Linked DNA regions of Notamacropus eugenii. The protein of the gene in region 1 purifies or fractionates together with the protein of each later gene. This does not show direct contact. Links are inferred from orthologs where the notes say so. Each region holds a gene or a part of one and is shown on either strand. Other genes may lie near its edges.

Region 1 (7,776 bases):
AAATGGTGCTGCAGGATTGTCAGGACAGAGTATGAATAAAAACCTGTGTTTTGGGAATTCAGGAAAAATTAATTTGGGGCTACTTGAGGTCAGTACCGAAGATGACATCAGGGGATCTGCTGGAGAAGAGTTGATGCTTGTGATGACACATCCTAGAATGCTAACATTGGCTTTAAAAAGATTTTAGGGCTGAAACGGCCCCTTTCATTTCTCTGGTCTTGGGAAATCCCAGGGGAGCAAATTCCCTTCACTGCAGCAGGCTAGCACTACCACTTTCTCTGTAACTTCCTGCCTGGAACCCATCCCGGGACACAAAGCCAGTGTGTGATCAGAGGAGGACCTTGAACCTAGGGCTTCCTGGTCCTGCCCCAAAAGGCCTCTCTTCAGAAGGCCTGAATGTATTCAGTTCTCAGCAGTCAGTCCATAAACATTTACAAAGCGCCCACTCATACTGGGCTTTATGTGCAGTGCTAGGTCAAACAAGACAGAAGGCAGGCCTTGCCCTGGAGGGGCTTCTTCTGCTCTGAGGGAGCTGAAGGCCAGAAAGGTGTCCAGGTCCTGACTGGGAGTTCTGGGGGCTCACTTTGGCGCTGTGTGCAGAAACAGTTGTGGTGACGTAGGGTGTCCGATTCTTCTGCAGCAAGTCGATGTAGACCTCGGCGCCATCCCCTCCATGGACACGCAACAAACTCAGCAGCTCATTCACATCGTGGTGAATCCGGAATTCACTCATGTTTCTGGGGCTGGGTCACAAACATCACAAAGTGTTCACCTGAGGGCAAAGCAAAGCATTTCTCTAAAAATGGAGGACCAGCTAAGTAGTTGGAGGGGGGGGGGGGGGGGAGAGAGGGAGACAGGGATGCTATCCAAGCCCTTCTCTTGTCTCCAGGGGATGAAATAAGAGTCTCTCAAGGAGAAACAAACCTAATGGAAAACCTGCATCAAGAGCACGCAGGAGTGGACCAAGAATTGGGATGATGCTCCTTTGTCTCCTTTGATGTCTGCTCTATTCAACTACCTTTTTGAACAGCAACAGCCAGATTAAAAGAATGGTAAAAAAAAAAAAAAAACCGAATGGGTCTTGGAAGGAAGGCAAGGAATAAGCATTTATTGAGTGCTCCACTGGGCTATTATCTCATTGGATCTAGGTGCTGTTACCACTCCCACTTTACAGCTGAGGAAATGGAGGCAAGCAGCAGTGAAGTGACTTGCTCAGGGTCACCTAGCTAGGAGGGGTCTGAGGTAGGATTTGAATTCAAACCTTTCTTACTCCAGGGTTCTCACTTTGAGCACTGTGGCGGGTTTGAAGAGTAAACCATCAATTTGCTAACATCTGTGAAGTACCTACTATGTGCTGAGTGCCAGAGATTCAAAGAAAAGGAAACAACATGGAGCTCCCAATCTGAAGAGACAACACACCAAGAACTTTGTGGAAGCAGGGAGGAGGGCTTCCCACAGCTGTGAGCATTCTAGACTGGGGGGCAGCCAGAAAAAGGTCAGAGAGGCAGGAGGGGCCAAACACAGCCTGCTGTATTTGTGCCTGAAGATGTCTGAGTTGGAGGTGTGGGGGAGAAAGAGTCACTTTGGACTTCTGAAATGGTTCAGGAGCAAGGTGATGAGGAGGTGGGAGTGGGGTGTGGCAGGATCAGACAAAAGGGGTCACAAAGGCAGAGCCACAAGGCTTCAGGCCTAGGAAGAGGGAAAGAGGATAAGTCTGAGTGACAGCCTGTGGGGCAAACCCCACAAATAAGCCAAAGCCTTCAGATGTGCCTCTGTCAAAAGAGGCCCTCTCATCAGCTAACTGCATGAGGATATCTGAGGATATTCCTCAAATACCCTGGCCCCCCACTGTGGGGAAGGTGAAGACAGAGAGATGAGGACACAGAGCAATTCGGAACTGGATGCATAAAGAGAGCAAACAGAAAACATTCAGGGAGTTGTGAAATGGTTGGGAGAAGAAACTCAGGACCTCCCTGTGGGTTTGCCTGGAGGCTGGAAGAGGCCTGGGGTGAGCTCTCAGGAGCTCCCCATCCCTAGGTCTGAGAGGTTCATGCGGACTCCTCGAGGAGAGGCCAGACCCACAGCCAGAGAGCAGCACTCCCTTTTAAGTGAGACTTTTACTGGCACATTCACAGTGGGCCCTCCCTATTGACAAAGACACATTGAGATGGTCAGTGCCTATCAGGCTGCTCCCATCTGAGGCCCCAATTCCTGCAAAGGAGTCAGGGCTTTTCCTTGCGGAAAAGTTTACTCTGGGGGCCTCTAACCCCAGCTTCTCCCTGTTTCCTGGTGGCTGTTCTTGCCAACAACTTTGGGACTCTGAGGGATCTGAGTGGACCCCAAGCCCCCAGGAATCCACAGGGGTTAGGACTAACTCATGCTGGGGAAGGAAGGAGGAGGAAGAGGAGGAGAATGATGGGGGGTGGGGGAGGCTGTTGAGGGTACTGGGAGGAGGTGGAAGGAGAAGGAGAAAGAGGGGCGGGAGCTGTCCAGGGTCCTGGGAAGAGGAAGGAGGGGAGGAAAGAGGAGCAGGAGCTGTCCGGGGTCCTAGAGGAAGAGGAAGGGAGGCAGAGAGGAGGGGGAGGGGCGCAGGAGGCGCTGTTCGGGCTGCAGTCTGCGGGGAGGAGGATGGGTCCGGTGGGGGGGCAGGAGGGGGAGGGGAGCTCTATCTGGGGGCGGGAGGGGAAAGAGAGCTCGCAGCGCGGGAGGGGAAGGGGGCCCTCCTGGTCCCGCCAGCCCGTTCAGTCCCAGGCACGGATGAGAACCGGAAGTTGTTTGGCTCGTACGTACGCGCTGGGGGGCCCTGGGGGCGCTGCAGCAGGAACGGGGAGAAGGAGCTCCGACCCTGATCGCCCCTTGGCAGACTCCTCTCCTTCCTTACTCACCCTGGATCCCGTTACTGTCCGGTCCCTGCCGACTCCCGCCTCGGCTCAGACATGACCCGGAAGTAGTTCCTGAGCAGGAAGTGACGCCACGAGTCTTTTCCCTCCAGCTTCCAGGCTCTGGCTGGGCGGTGGGGGGGTGCTGAGGAGAGGGAAATGGAGCTGGCCCCCCTGGCATCCCTCCCCTCTCCATGGCTGCTGGCTTGCCTGGGTCTAGGCTCAGCCAGGGGGACCCATTCTGCTGCCCGCCCCCCGCAGCTGCATGTGCTTTGCCACCTGCCACGGGGGTGACCCCAGCCTGTGCCAGGACACCTGCTGCTCGAGGTCACGTGGGTTCTGGGCGGGACCTAGAATGAGAGCTAGGCTGAGGGGCGGGCTATGGGGCGGGGCCTGGGGCGATACGTAGGCAGAGGGGTGGAGCCTTGGAGGAGACCGAGGGAGGGGTAGGTCTTGGGGGGAGACCGAGGCGGAGAGGTGGGGTCTGCGGTGAAAGACAGGCTGAGAGGCGGGGCTTGCGGCCAGACTGCGGTGGGGAGGCGGGGTCTGCGGCCAAAGCGAGGCAGAGAGGCGGGGTCTGCAGGGGGTGGGGAGGGTGTGGGAGGTAAGAAAAAGGTTCGTCGTAGAAAAAGGTTCGTCATCGTCGCGGTGATCGGGGCTCGGTCCATATCTCTGGTCGTGCCCTCCTCGGCCCTCTGCTCTCCAGGATGGGGACCCTACGAGACACCCTCAGCACCCGAAGGTGCTGTAGCCGCCCTTCCCCGGGATAGGGAAGCCGCAACCGACGGAAGAGCCCGGCCAGCGGAACCGGGCTCTGGCGTCGGCTGCGGAGCGGGTCCGCCGAGGGTCCTCTGGAGCCGATGGGCGGTGGATGGGCGGCCGATGAGCCGATGGGCCGGCAAGCGGGCGACCCCTCGAAGGGTCCTAGCGAGCCGCTTTTTCCCCGCAGGGTGCCCGCCTACTGCTGCCACATCGGGGGCTGCGATCGGGTGTTCGACTCCCTGCCGGGCTACGTGCGTCACTACCAGACGCTGCACCAGAATGCGTGCTCCTTCTGCCGCCGCTCGTTCCCCTCGGACCAGCTGCTGGACATCCACCTCCTGGAGCGCCATGGCACCGTGCCGTCTTCGCCCACTCGGGCTGCGGCCGCGCGCGAGCGCCGCCCCATCCCCTTCTACTACCAGTGCCCGGTGTGGGGCTGCACCGACAAGTTCATGAGTCCCGAGGAGCAGACGGACCATCTGATCCGCGTCCACCACTACCCGGCCCATCTCTGGTTTGATTCTCCTCAGGACAACCAGAGGTAGAGGGGAAGGGCGGGGGCGAGCTATCATTATTGGGGGGAGAGCGAAAGACAAGAGGGATGGGTAGGCAGGGGGCCGGAGAAAGTGGGAAGGGAGGGGCGGGCGGGGGTGCGGGCTTTGCAGAGCACGGGAGGGGAGGGAGACGGTCTATCATTATGGGCGAGGAATGGGAATGTGGGAATGGGGGTGAGTGGAGAGCGGGGAGAGGCGGGAGGTGGTCGATCATTACGGGCAATGGATGCGGACGGGGGTGGGTGGAGAACGGCTAGAGGAGGGAGGTGGTCCATCATTATGGGCGATGAATGGAGCTGGGGATGGTGGGAGAGCGGAGAGCGGAGAGAGGAGGGAGATGGTTGATCACTATGGGGAATGGATGGGGATGGGGGTGGAGGCAGAGCGGGGAGAGGAGGGAGATGGTCGATCATTATTGGGGATGGATGAGGATAGGGGTGGGGGCAGAGATGGGAGAGAAGGGAGGTGGTCGATCATCATGGGGGATGGAGAGAGCGAGAAGAGGAGGAGGGAGGCAGATCATTATGGGGGATAAATGGTAGTGGGGGGGGGGAAGCGAGGAGGGGAGGGGGAAGGGGCGGAGGCCGGGGAGAGCGAGGGGGGGCGGGGGAGAGTGGAGCAGAGGGGAGGGGGAGGGAGAAGGATGGAGGTGGGGGCGGGGCCAAGCATCGCTGGAGAGGGATGGGGTGGGGGCGGGGAGGGGCGGTGGACATCCGGGCCTGAGCATCTACCAGAGGACGCCAGAGGGGCGTCATCGGTGAAGGGGGGGCTGCAGGGCTCTCACGCCCCAGTCATTCTCCTCTGCAGTTCCGGCCAGCAGGGCTCTGCATCCTCTGCATCGGCCTCTGTGGGGTCCGCCTCCGAGGCTTGTGCTAAGGAATCGGCCTCTGCGTCCCTGGCCTGTGCATCGGCTTCTGTAGCCTCGGCTGCCCAGGGCTCTGGGCATGGAGGAGTTCTCGGAGGGGATGACGCCCAGGACCCGGAGGAGGCCATGGAGGAGACTGTGGAGGATCCTGAGGAGGAAGAGGAGCCCGTGGACGACGTTGAAGACGACGCCGACGATGAGGAGCCCATGGGGGAGGATATGGGGGAGGACGAGGAGGACGAAGATCCTCCTGAGTCCGAGGCAGGCAGTGACCCCGAGCCTTCTGAGGATGACATCTCCAGCCTCAGGTCAGGAGACGAGGACGTTGGCCCTTTCTCTGCCCCCTCCTGCCCCTCCGTGTGTGTGTCTCTCTCTTTCCGTCAGTCTCACTCACACTATCTCCACCCAACGAGCACATTCAGCACGTAGGCTGCGGACCCCGACCCCAGTGAGCAGAGCCTGCCTTCCCCTCCCATTGGGAGGCAGTGCAATGCCTAGCTGGGGAAAGAGAGGGAGCAATACCTGACTGACTTATCAGGCCAGCCAACGCTTCACGATTCACTGTGGTGTTTGGGACCTGGCAAGAAGCCTTCTCAAATCACCGTTAAACACACACAAAACATACATCCTATTGAAATACACTCAGCAAAAAAGGTTAAACATTATAGCACACACACCCCAGGAATGAGGAAGGGCCACTGGGGGCTCCAAGGGATAGAACTTGGGAGGCAGCTTCTTCTGACCCTTCCACAAACTCTGCAGCCCATTTGTCCTCCAGAACTACTCGGAGGAGCTCACTCTTCTAGAGACTCAGAAGGTGGGAGTAGGGAACAGCTCAGTCAGGTGTGTGTTTGCATGGGAGCCAGGAGAAACTGGAGGGTTGGGGGCTTCAGTCCTGTGGACTTCAGGGTGAATAATTAATCAACAATCACCGAAGCATCTACAGAGCCCTTGAAGGCTGGCCAAGCTCCTTACATACATTCTCAATAGATCCTTAAACAACACTAAGAGGGAGGTGCAGTTATTATCCTCATTTTACTGAAAATAAAGGCAAACTGAGGCAGACAGAGAAGTGACTTGCCTGAGCTCACACAGCTAGTAAGAATCTGAGACATGATTCCCGACCCATGCTGAACCTCTCAAGGCTAACACTTTCTGGGTGAACTGGGAACCCCAGGATCTGAGCCAGGGCTACACTTGAATTTCAGCAAAGCATTTTCCAGTCTTCCTCATGCATCCTTGTGGAATGGGTCCTACCTGAGACTCTTCCTAACTCCCTCAACCTCTGGGTTCCTGTTGTTTCCCCTGCTTGGGGGCTGGCTCATTAACAGCAGGGCACTGAAGAGAGTGATGAGCCTGGAGTCTGGGAGACAGAAACTCACTGTCCAGTTAAGTTCTGTGTGAGCCCAAGAGGAAGCTCCTGTACCTGTCGGGAGGTCTCTAGTGGGGTGGCCCAGGTATCTGTTCCTGGCCTGATGCCATTTGACAACTCTGCTACTGATTTGAATGGTGGTAGGATGATCCCCAGTGACCTTGACATGCCACAGGGATAGCTGATGTCCATTAGGGACAGAGTTCAAGGACTTCTCACTGGGCGAAGTAAGGGCAGAATTTGGGGAAGCAAAGGGAAGGATGGGAGATGCTGATAGGATTTTCAAGCATAGGATGGTGAAGATGACCCGATTTGGGGAAAGGGTGACCCAGGGGAGGCTGGAAACCAGGAGCTCCCTGCTTATAAGGGTCAAGAGGAGGAGGAAGGGAAAAAGGGAGATGACTAGTTCTGGGGAAATGGGGGTGGTGGCTCAGCTAGGGGACCTGCTGGAAGAGACTGTCATCTTAGGGGATGAAGAAAAGCTTGGATCCCTCCTGAAGAGAGTATCTAGGGGTTGAAAGGGAGGAGCGGGACAATGTCTCAGAGGAAGGGGAGTTGGAAGCTGAGAGGGTTTGGGGAGCTACGGAGGCAGCAGACGCATCCCCCAAGAGCAGATGGTGAAAAAGTGCTCGAAGCCCCTCCCCAAGCCTGCTTCTGGGCATCAGGTCCCTCTACAGCCCAGCCCTTGGCCTCTCCACCATTTGTGGTGGTGGGGCCCAGGACCTCAGCAAGCCCCCAGTAAAGCCAGAGTAGAGGGGCTCACCTGGAGTATGCTTTCCATTCCAGAGGCCCTACAATTGCTTTTGGCCCCGGGGCAGCTGGAGGATTCGATGATAGCGCAGAGGAGAGTAATGAAGATCACTGAGCACCTACAGAGTCGGGCTGCTCCCTGGGGTCATGAAGCAGGACCCCTTCCCTCCCCCACCCCCACCCCCCCAGAAGCATGTTTTCTGGGCTTTAGAGCAGCCCCTGAGGTGCACCACCACACAGCGATCGGCCTGGGGGCGCTGCTTCCTTGGTGAGCCCCTGCTCAAATCAGGGGCCAGCCAAGCACCTCTTGGACCAGGCTGAGTCCAACCCAGGCCTTTTCCCCTCTCCCTCCTTGCTCACTCCTCCTGCTGGAGGACCCCTCGTCTGTCTTTGTGTTTGTCTTGTTGTCTGTGAAGCACAGGCCCCTGGTGTGCTCGCCAGGAATCCCAGAAGGACACTCAAGACTGTTGGCCCATGCAGCCATGACTGCTCTGGACCATCTTGAGGTATCTTCTAGGGTCTGCCCCCTACCCTGTGAACCTAAATAAAGTCTGTAAGCAACCCCACCATGGCTGGGCTCCATTTGTACAAGAC
Region 2 (7,191 bases), on another chromosome or scaffold:
GTATGTCCTCAACCATATCCATCTAGTTTTAGGCAAGACCACAATAGTCAGTCAGTAAGAAAGCAGCACCAGAAGGATACCGAGCAGGATGTTTGATCACTAAATCACAGAAGGGACTTTCTTTCCATAAGTGGATGCCTGTGCAGTGATAGCTTTTAGGTAAACTTGTGATGTAGAGAGGCTTATTATAATTATCCTACATTAATAACCCCCCCGGGGGGTTTTCTGTATGCATTATGGGTAGCCACATGTGCAATTCCACCAAGGCCAGGACCTCTCCCCATATTAGTAAATCCCTCCTATGTTTTAATATTCATATATTCCAATATGCTAATAACACCATTTGCTCTATAAAAATTCCTGTCTTGCTTTGCTAAGCTGTTAGCTCCTCTAAGGAGCCTAGCCAGTTTTCTGAGATTGTTATCATCAATAGATGCCTTTGCTTGGGTTGGAAATGGTCTTTGTGAATTCTTTCAAGACAACCCTGCAACACACCATGACACCCCAACAATCCTGCTGAGTTATGTGGAGTGATTTGAGTGTAAAGTCAACATTACAAATCTGGGAGACCAGAAAAATAATGCCTTACAAAAAAATAGGAAATTTGGAAGAGGGGTACTTTTTTTTTTGCTGAAGGGTGGGGAGGGTGGATAATAAATTGTTTTAGATATGTCGAATTTAAGAAGTCTCTAGAAATTCAGTTTCAAATGTCTAAAAGGCAGTTTGGTGATGGTGAAATCAGGGGAGAAACTGGGACTGGATATATTGAACTGGGAATTATGATCACAAGTGGTAAACCCAGAACTTCAGAGAGGTTAGAAAGTGTGATGTCAATTATAATCCAGCAGAGAAGATTAAATCAGAAGATTAAAAAATAGTAGTAAGAATGGCAAAAGAACCAAGGAATGGAGCAGTATCACAAATCCCCTCAGTGATGGTAAGGGACTTAGGCTATCTCCACTAGGATCTAGGAATCAAGGGTGGGGAACCTTTGGCCTAAAAAAAGCATTTGTTGGTACTGTACTCAGTCAAAAGGCTGCACCCAAGAACCTTGAAGGCCACATGTGGCCTCCAGGCTGAAGGTTCCCCACCCCGAAGGTTCCTCACCCCTGATTCTAAGTCATTTGCATAGAGATGGAAATTGAAATCAAGGGAGCTGATGAGATCACCAAAAATGAGGACACAGAGAGAAGAGAGCGAACTTAACTAGTTGGAGGGTAGGATATGAATGATGTCAGCAAAGGAGCATGAGAAGGAGCAGTTAGACTAGTAAAAGCAAAAGGAACGAAGCAAGCAAACCCAAGAGAAGAAAGTATTCAGGAGTGTAAAATGCTGTAAAGAGCTTATGATGAATGAGGATATGAAAAGACCACAAAATATCACGGGTAATCTTGAAGAGAACAGTGTCACTTGGGTGATGAGGCTGTAAGACTTAAAGGGTTTGAGAATTGAGAAAAGAAATGGAGGCAAAGAGTATAAACAGCTTTTTCTAGAAGTTGGCCTGTAAATGGGAAGAGTCAGATTCAGAGAATGAAAGGATGGGAGAGTCTTTCAAGGGCATTTTTCTTTTCAAACGACGGGAGTCCGGAGCATATTTGGAAAATGCTGAAGTGGGAAGTGCAATACAAGAAAGGGAAATAGGAATAATGCAGGTTAAGGGAAGTCAATTACATCTGGTGGACAGTATTTATTAATGGTCCACTGAGTTTGAGGTTCTGTGCTCCAGGCACAGAAAGGGAGAAACAGTCCCTGCTTTCAAGAAACTCAGTCTAACTGGGTTGATTGTGGTCCTTGGCTCTGGAAGAGGACCAAAATGACATCACCACATAAACTCAACTTCCAACGTCTGAGCGGGCTGATCAGACCACTGCCGAGCTTGGAATGCTCTACCACAGGTTGAGCACAGACAGTCGGTGGGAATATGTGGGGTGGATACTCTATATTTGTGCCTTCTATGTTTACTTTGTAATGTCTCAATCTGGGCCCTGTGGTGAGCAGTCCTGCGCCAGCGTCTCCCATGACAACACGCAAACAACCGCATAGAAATAAGTTACAATTAGGATACATTGTAAATAATCAGGATACATTGTAAAAGATCATCACCTCTGCAAGGACTGGACCGGCACCTTTTGCTTCGCGAGCAGAGACTGAGGAAACTACCATTTGCATAAGCTATTATTTCTTTCATAGCAAACACTTCAGTCATCTCTGCCTAAGGAATTTCAATCTCATCACGTGAAGTCACGCAAACTCAAGCCCTGCCGCAACTTTTTCTTCTTTTCATCGGGCTCACGTTCATCCAGACGCAGGCCCTTTTCCCCCAGGTTCCCACCTACACACCCAGACGCTCCCGGGCCTTTCACTTTGCTCACCCTCCAGTGCACAGACACTACGTGGGTTCCCGTGGCCCACGCCACACTCAGTGCGTGGACACACGACCCGGCCCGACCCGACGCCACGAGAGTTCCTCCCAGCACCCCCGCGCTGGACCGCGTTTGGATCCGCTTTAGAGCAAACAGTGGGAGGAGGCCGAGGAAGGGAGCGCGACCCCCGGGGTCCCAGACCAGGGAGGGATAACGGACCCACGCACATTCCGGGCGCCAGGAGCGCGACGCCGACGTGGGGAAACGGGACGACGCGCGCGACCGCGTACGTAGAAGCCGTGGAGGCTCCCCTCGAAGGCGAGGCGTCGACCGACTCGGGGCTGTCGGGGAAGCGGTCCGGGAAAAGGAGGGTTATTCTCAAGCTTCCAACGGAACCACCCCTTTCGTTGGGCCCCGCGTCTGCCTGCGAACTGGAGAGGAGGAGAAGGGACAGGGACGGGAACTCACCGTCCATGGTCTCCCTCACCGCGTTCAGGTTGGCCGCGGCGGCCGCCGCAGCCGCAGCGCCGCTATTACTCCCTGCCATGGCGACTGCCCGCCAAGGCAGGGGAAAAGCGGGAGAACCGTTTGACCCGGAACAGGAGGTAGTGTCCTGTTCTCCCGGGCAATCAGGCTGCGCGTCGTCTCCTCACGCCGGAGGGAGGCTCCGCCCCTCGCGCTGTGTGTCTGCCGCCGTGAGGCGCTCCATAAAGTTGCGTTCGTTTGAATCCCGGGGCCTCGTTACTATGGGGGCGTGAAGCGCGAAGTTTCCATTCGAATTTCCTACGCGATGGCCGTCTGATTGGCCAGTTCGAGGACGGCTCGCAGCCACGATTGGCTGAGCTCCCGGAAGCCCCGAGCCCTGGTTGGTCCTCGGCATCTCGGAATCTGGGAGTTAAAGAGTAGCTGGCTGCTGCTGCCGCGGCAGCTGCTGGACCCCCGGGAGGACTACCTGGATTCTCCATCTCTGCAGCTCTCGCACCGTGAGAATCGTGGCTTCTCACCCACGGCTTAGAGGTACGTGTTCTGGAGGGGCTCCCCCTTCAACCCCCTCATTGTATCGGGATTGCTTTTTTCCCGGGTTCCTTGCTGGCCAGTCCTCCCGCGCCGAGCGTGCCCTAGGAGAATGGGGGAGAACGGGGATAGCTCTGAACTTCCTCTTTCCGGCAGACCGAGGCTGCCTTTGTGGAACTTCTGGGAAGGCACGTTTCACCCTACTGGCACCCCTCCTCTGTCTCGGGATGGAGGCCACCTTGTGTCCTGTCCTGGAAACGTTAGACCCCTTGCCCACCTAGGGAACGTGAGCCTGTAACTGGCCCAGACCTGAGCAAGCGTATTGTTTTGGAGTAATGGCATAGACCTTAAAAAGAAGGTTGGATGAGCCGAGGCTGTGTAGGTGAATGGAGAGGGTGTGTGCTTTCCCTCTCTTATTAATGCCCAGTTTGTCCTCTGTAAGTCTTGTTTTGTACGTAGGTTGCATGTGTTCACCCACCTTAGACTGTGAGCTCCTTCAGAGCAGGGGCCCTCTTCTGCCCTGTTTTGTGCCCCCATGGCTTAGCACGGCTCCTGAGTAATTGACTAGCTGAGTTTGCTGAAATACCACAGAGTTCTTGTAGATCGAGGTAAGCTGTTAGAGAGAAGTTTAAGTTTGTTGATCAGGCATGTGGCAAAGTTCCTCAGTGGGGTTGTGGGGGGTGGGGGAGAAGGTTACTTTGTTTCCACTCTAAATTTTTTCACAAGATTTTACACCATCCTCTATTGTTGGAAGCCACAATTTTATTCTTAACATTGTAGTCATTTCTTCTTGTTTTGTAAAGGATTGTCATGAATGCTATGGTCAGATTTCAATAAGGGAAAACTGATGATCCTGTCTGTGATTTTCTTTCAGTTTTATGCTATGGGAGATGTCAAAGAAGCTAAAATGCAAATAACACCGGAAACTCCGGGAAAGATCACTGTCCTAAATCCTTTTGAAAGTCCAAGTGATTATTCCAGCCTGCAAGAACAAATCGTCTCCAGTCCTTCAGCATTTAAATCTACAAAATCTTCATCCGTAAGAATTGAATCATATGACTTATAAAAATATATTCAAATAAAAACATTTCCTCACTACAGGTAACAGTGTGACACTTAGAGAACATGTTTGTTAATAGCAATAATAGCAGTGCCTGACTAATAGTGCTTTATGGCTATAAGCACTTGGTTGGCTGCATGTTATCTCCATTTTAAAGATGAGTTCATAGACTTGCCAGCAGTCATCATGTTTAGGAAGTGCCAAAGCTAAGATTAATGCTTAGGTCTGCTTTCAGAGTCAGTGCACATCTCAGTCTCCATAGTTGGTTTCCTTGTTGAAGTTTGTGAAAAATATGAAGTCATTTAAGCTTCCTAAGTTTCTTCAGTTTTAGCCCAAAGTAGTATTCAGTAAAGCCTTGTGGATGGCCTAAAGAAAAGCAAAAATTTCTCTGAGTTCATCTTTTTAACTTGACACATTTTATCAGGAAGTTCTAACATCACAGATTCCATGGTGATAATGCATTTAATTAAAATAGATTGGGATTATAACTTTTTACTGAATTTCTAGGAAGGTTCTCTGATGTCGTCTTACTATGAAGGTAACTTTAGATTCTTAATCATACTAACAGCATAAATTTGGCAGGTTGTACTTAGGTAGAAAATTTTTAAGACTAGTTCAGTGCTTTTCAGGATCCATTATAGACAAACTTATCAACAAGAGGTTGGGTGTTAAACAATTCATTATTTGTCCATGGTGACCCATGAAACAGAAGATTCATTGGATCTCTGATCACACTGTAGACATTCCTTTCAGAAACCTGCCTTGTAACTCATATATGTGCCCTCATCCTGGAAGATTGGACTATGTCCTCCTATAAATTTTAATGAGTGCCCTATCCAAAGAGATGGGATTTTTTTCTACATTTCTAGAGAGGGGTCCATGCAGTGAAAGACAAAGGCTATCTTTCATATATGGCTGACAGCAACATAGTGTGGGTTACATGTTGGAGTTGGAATCTGGAAAACCTGAGCTCAAAATCTGCCTATGACACCTCTTCACTTTTTGACCATAGTTAAGTCGCTTAACCTCAATGAATTTCATTTTCCTTTTGCCTCATGAAGTTGTTGTGAGACTTGAAATAATCTATGTAAATTGCATTGCAAACTTTAAAGCACTCTATGAATGTCACCAATTTGGTGAGGCAACATGGTGTAGGGGATGGAGTATTTGACTTGGACTTAGAAAAACATAGGTTTACATACTGCCCCTTCACATTTAATGGCCATGTGTATGTTCCTGGGCAAGTCAGAGTGTCCTTAGATTTGTTTTTTGTGCTTTAAAATGGGGTTAATAATACACGTAACAATTGCCTCGCCTCATCCTGAGCTCTGACTTGGTAACGTATGTAAACTACTTTGTGAACTTTAAAGTACCATACAAATTTTAGTGGTTATTGATATCATCGTTTCTCTCTTTTGCTACATGATTTCCTGTGATTCCTTTCACTGGCATGCTTTATACCTCTTCTTTCATGCAGTTCTGCTTTGTTCATGTGTTTTATTGAACTCCGTTTTGCAAGTAAGGAAACTGAGGCATACAGAGGAGTTATCAGATTTGTTCAAAGTTATATAACTAATGTGGGCAGCTAGGTGGCCTAAAGTCAGGAGGATCTGAATTCAGATCCGGTATCAGGCACTTACTCTCAGTGTGTCCCTGGGCTGGTCACTTAACCCTGCTTGCTTCAGTTTCCTCACATGTAAAATGAACCGGAGAAGGAAATAGCAAACTTCTTGTCTTTGCCAAGAAAACCCCAAATGGGGTTGCAGAGAGTCAGATATGACTGACAACTAAAAAAGACTGACAGACAACATATCACTAACGTAACATGGCAGGGATTTGAATGTAGGTCTTCTGATTCCCAATTTCAGGGGTCTTTTCATTACATCCACAATTTTCCCTTAGCATATTTCTTTGTTGGGAAAAGTCAGACCATAGCAAGCACTTACGTTCTTATTTACTGACTGGTTGTTATTAATTTATTCAAAATTCGTCCCTATGGAGTGTCTTGATTATTTAAAATAGAAATTAGTAAATTTGTCCATATTACCTTTTGTTTTAGTAGTTTTTATTCTAATTTTGTAAAGGCAGAATATCATAGTAGATATTAAAGAAGTTTAGGGAGATGTGGGTTCAAGTCCTGCATGTAGCATTACTAGCTGTGGGCCAATATTTTAACCTCTCAGTGCCCCAGGCAACTTTCTAAGACTAATTCCTGATCAATTGCTCATCTAGGTTGATGGAGAGAGTTTCTATACCAGGCTTCCCTATTCTGATCAAATCATAGCTCTTGCCCTGCTTCTCCTACCCTTTTGACTCCCTCCACCCACCCCAATGTTAATGTGTCACTAGCTTTAGAGAACATTGTGTTAAATGTTGGCTGCTCCTAGTCTTCCTGAAGGTGACTTTTATTAGTTTTTTGATAGAATAGTAAACATTGTGCAGCTCACCGTTTTATTCATAAATGTTCGTTTCTTTTTTTTGTTAAGACTCCAGGGAAATTTAGATGGTCTATTGATCAACTTGCTGTCATAAATCCTGTGGAAATAGATCCAGAAGACGTTCATCGTCAAGCTATATATTTAAGTCATTCTAGGTAAGTTTTTGTATACTTGCCCTGAAGTGTAATAACCTGCTCTTGAAAAGTAGTAGAAAATGAAACCTTTAAATTGATATAAAGGCAGCAAGGTGGAGTAGTTTGTGCAGATTCACCATGCCAGATAGAGATGTATTACAAGAATGGTTCACTTTCAGAGA

The links.
Region 2: the proteins of TUBGCP2 (region 1) and MZT1 purify together in Homo sapiens (affinity purification with mass spectrometry; 4 studies listed by BioGRID and IntAct, counting the BioPlex papers as one, with this or other methods). This does not show direct contact. The link is inferred for Notamacropus eugenii from reciprocal best matches to the Homo sapiens genes TUBGCP2 and MZT1.

What each region holds. Positions count from the first base shown.
Region 1 is NC_092872.1:292,086,035-292,093,810, forward strand, and holds the start of TUBGCP2 (gamma-tubulin complex component 2), read right to left. Parts: upstream 3,003-7,776; 5' UTR 2,886-3,002; exon of another isoform or gene 2,791-2,885; intron 773-2,790; 5' UTR 734-772; coding exon 584-733; intron 1-583. Other genes in the region: ZNF511 (zinc finger protein 511), read left to right, coding at 3,145-3,206, 3,829-4,182, 5,003-5,368, 7,219-7,297. UniProt on the Homo sapiens protein: Component of the gamma-tubulin ring complex (gTuRC) which mediates microtubule nucleation.
Region 2 is NC_092877.1:265,287,084-265,294,274, reverse strand, and holds the start of MZT1 (mitotic-spindle organizing protein 1), read right to left. Parts: upstream 3,020-7,191; 5' UTR 2,911-3,019; coding exon 2,832-2,910; intron 1-2,831. Other genes in the region: BORA (protein aurora borealis), read left to right, coding at 4,261-4,416, 6,924-7,030. UniProt on the Homo sapiens protein: Required for the recruitment and the assembly of the gamma-tubulin ring complex (gTuRC) at the centrosome.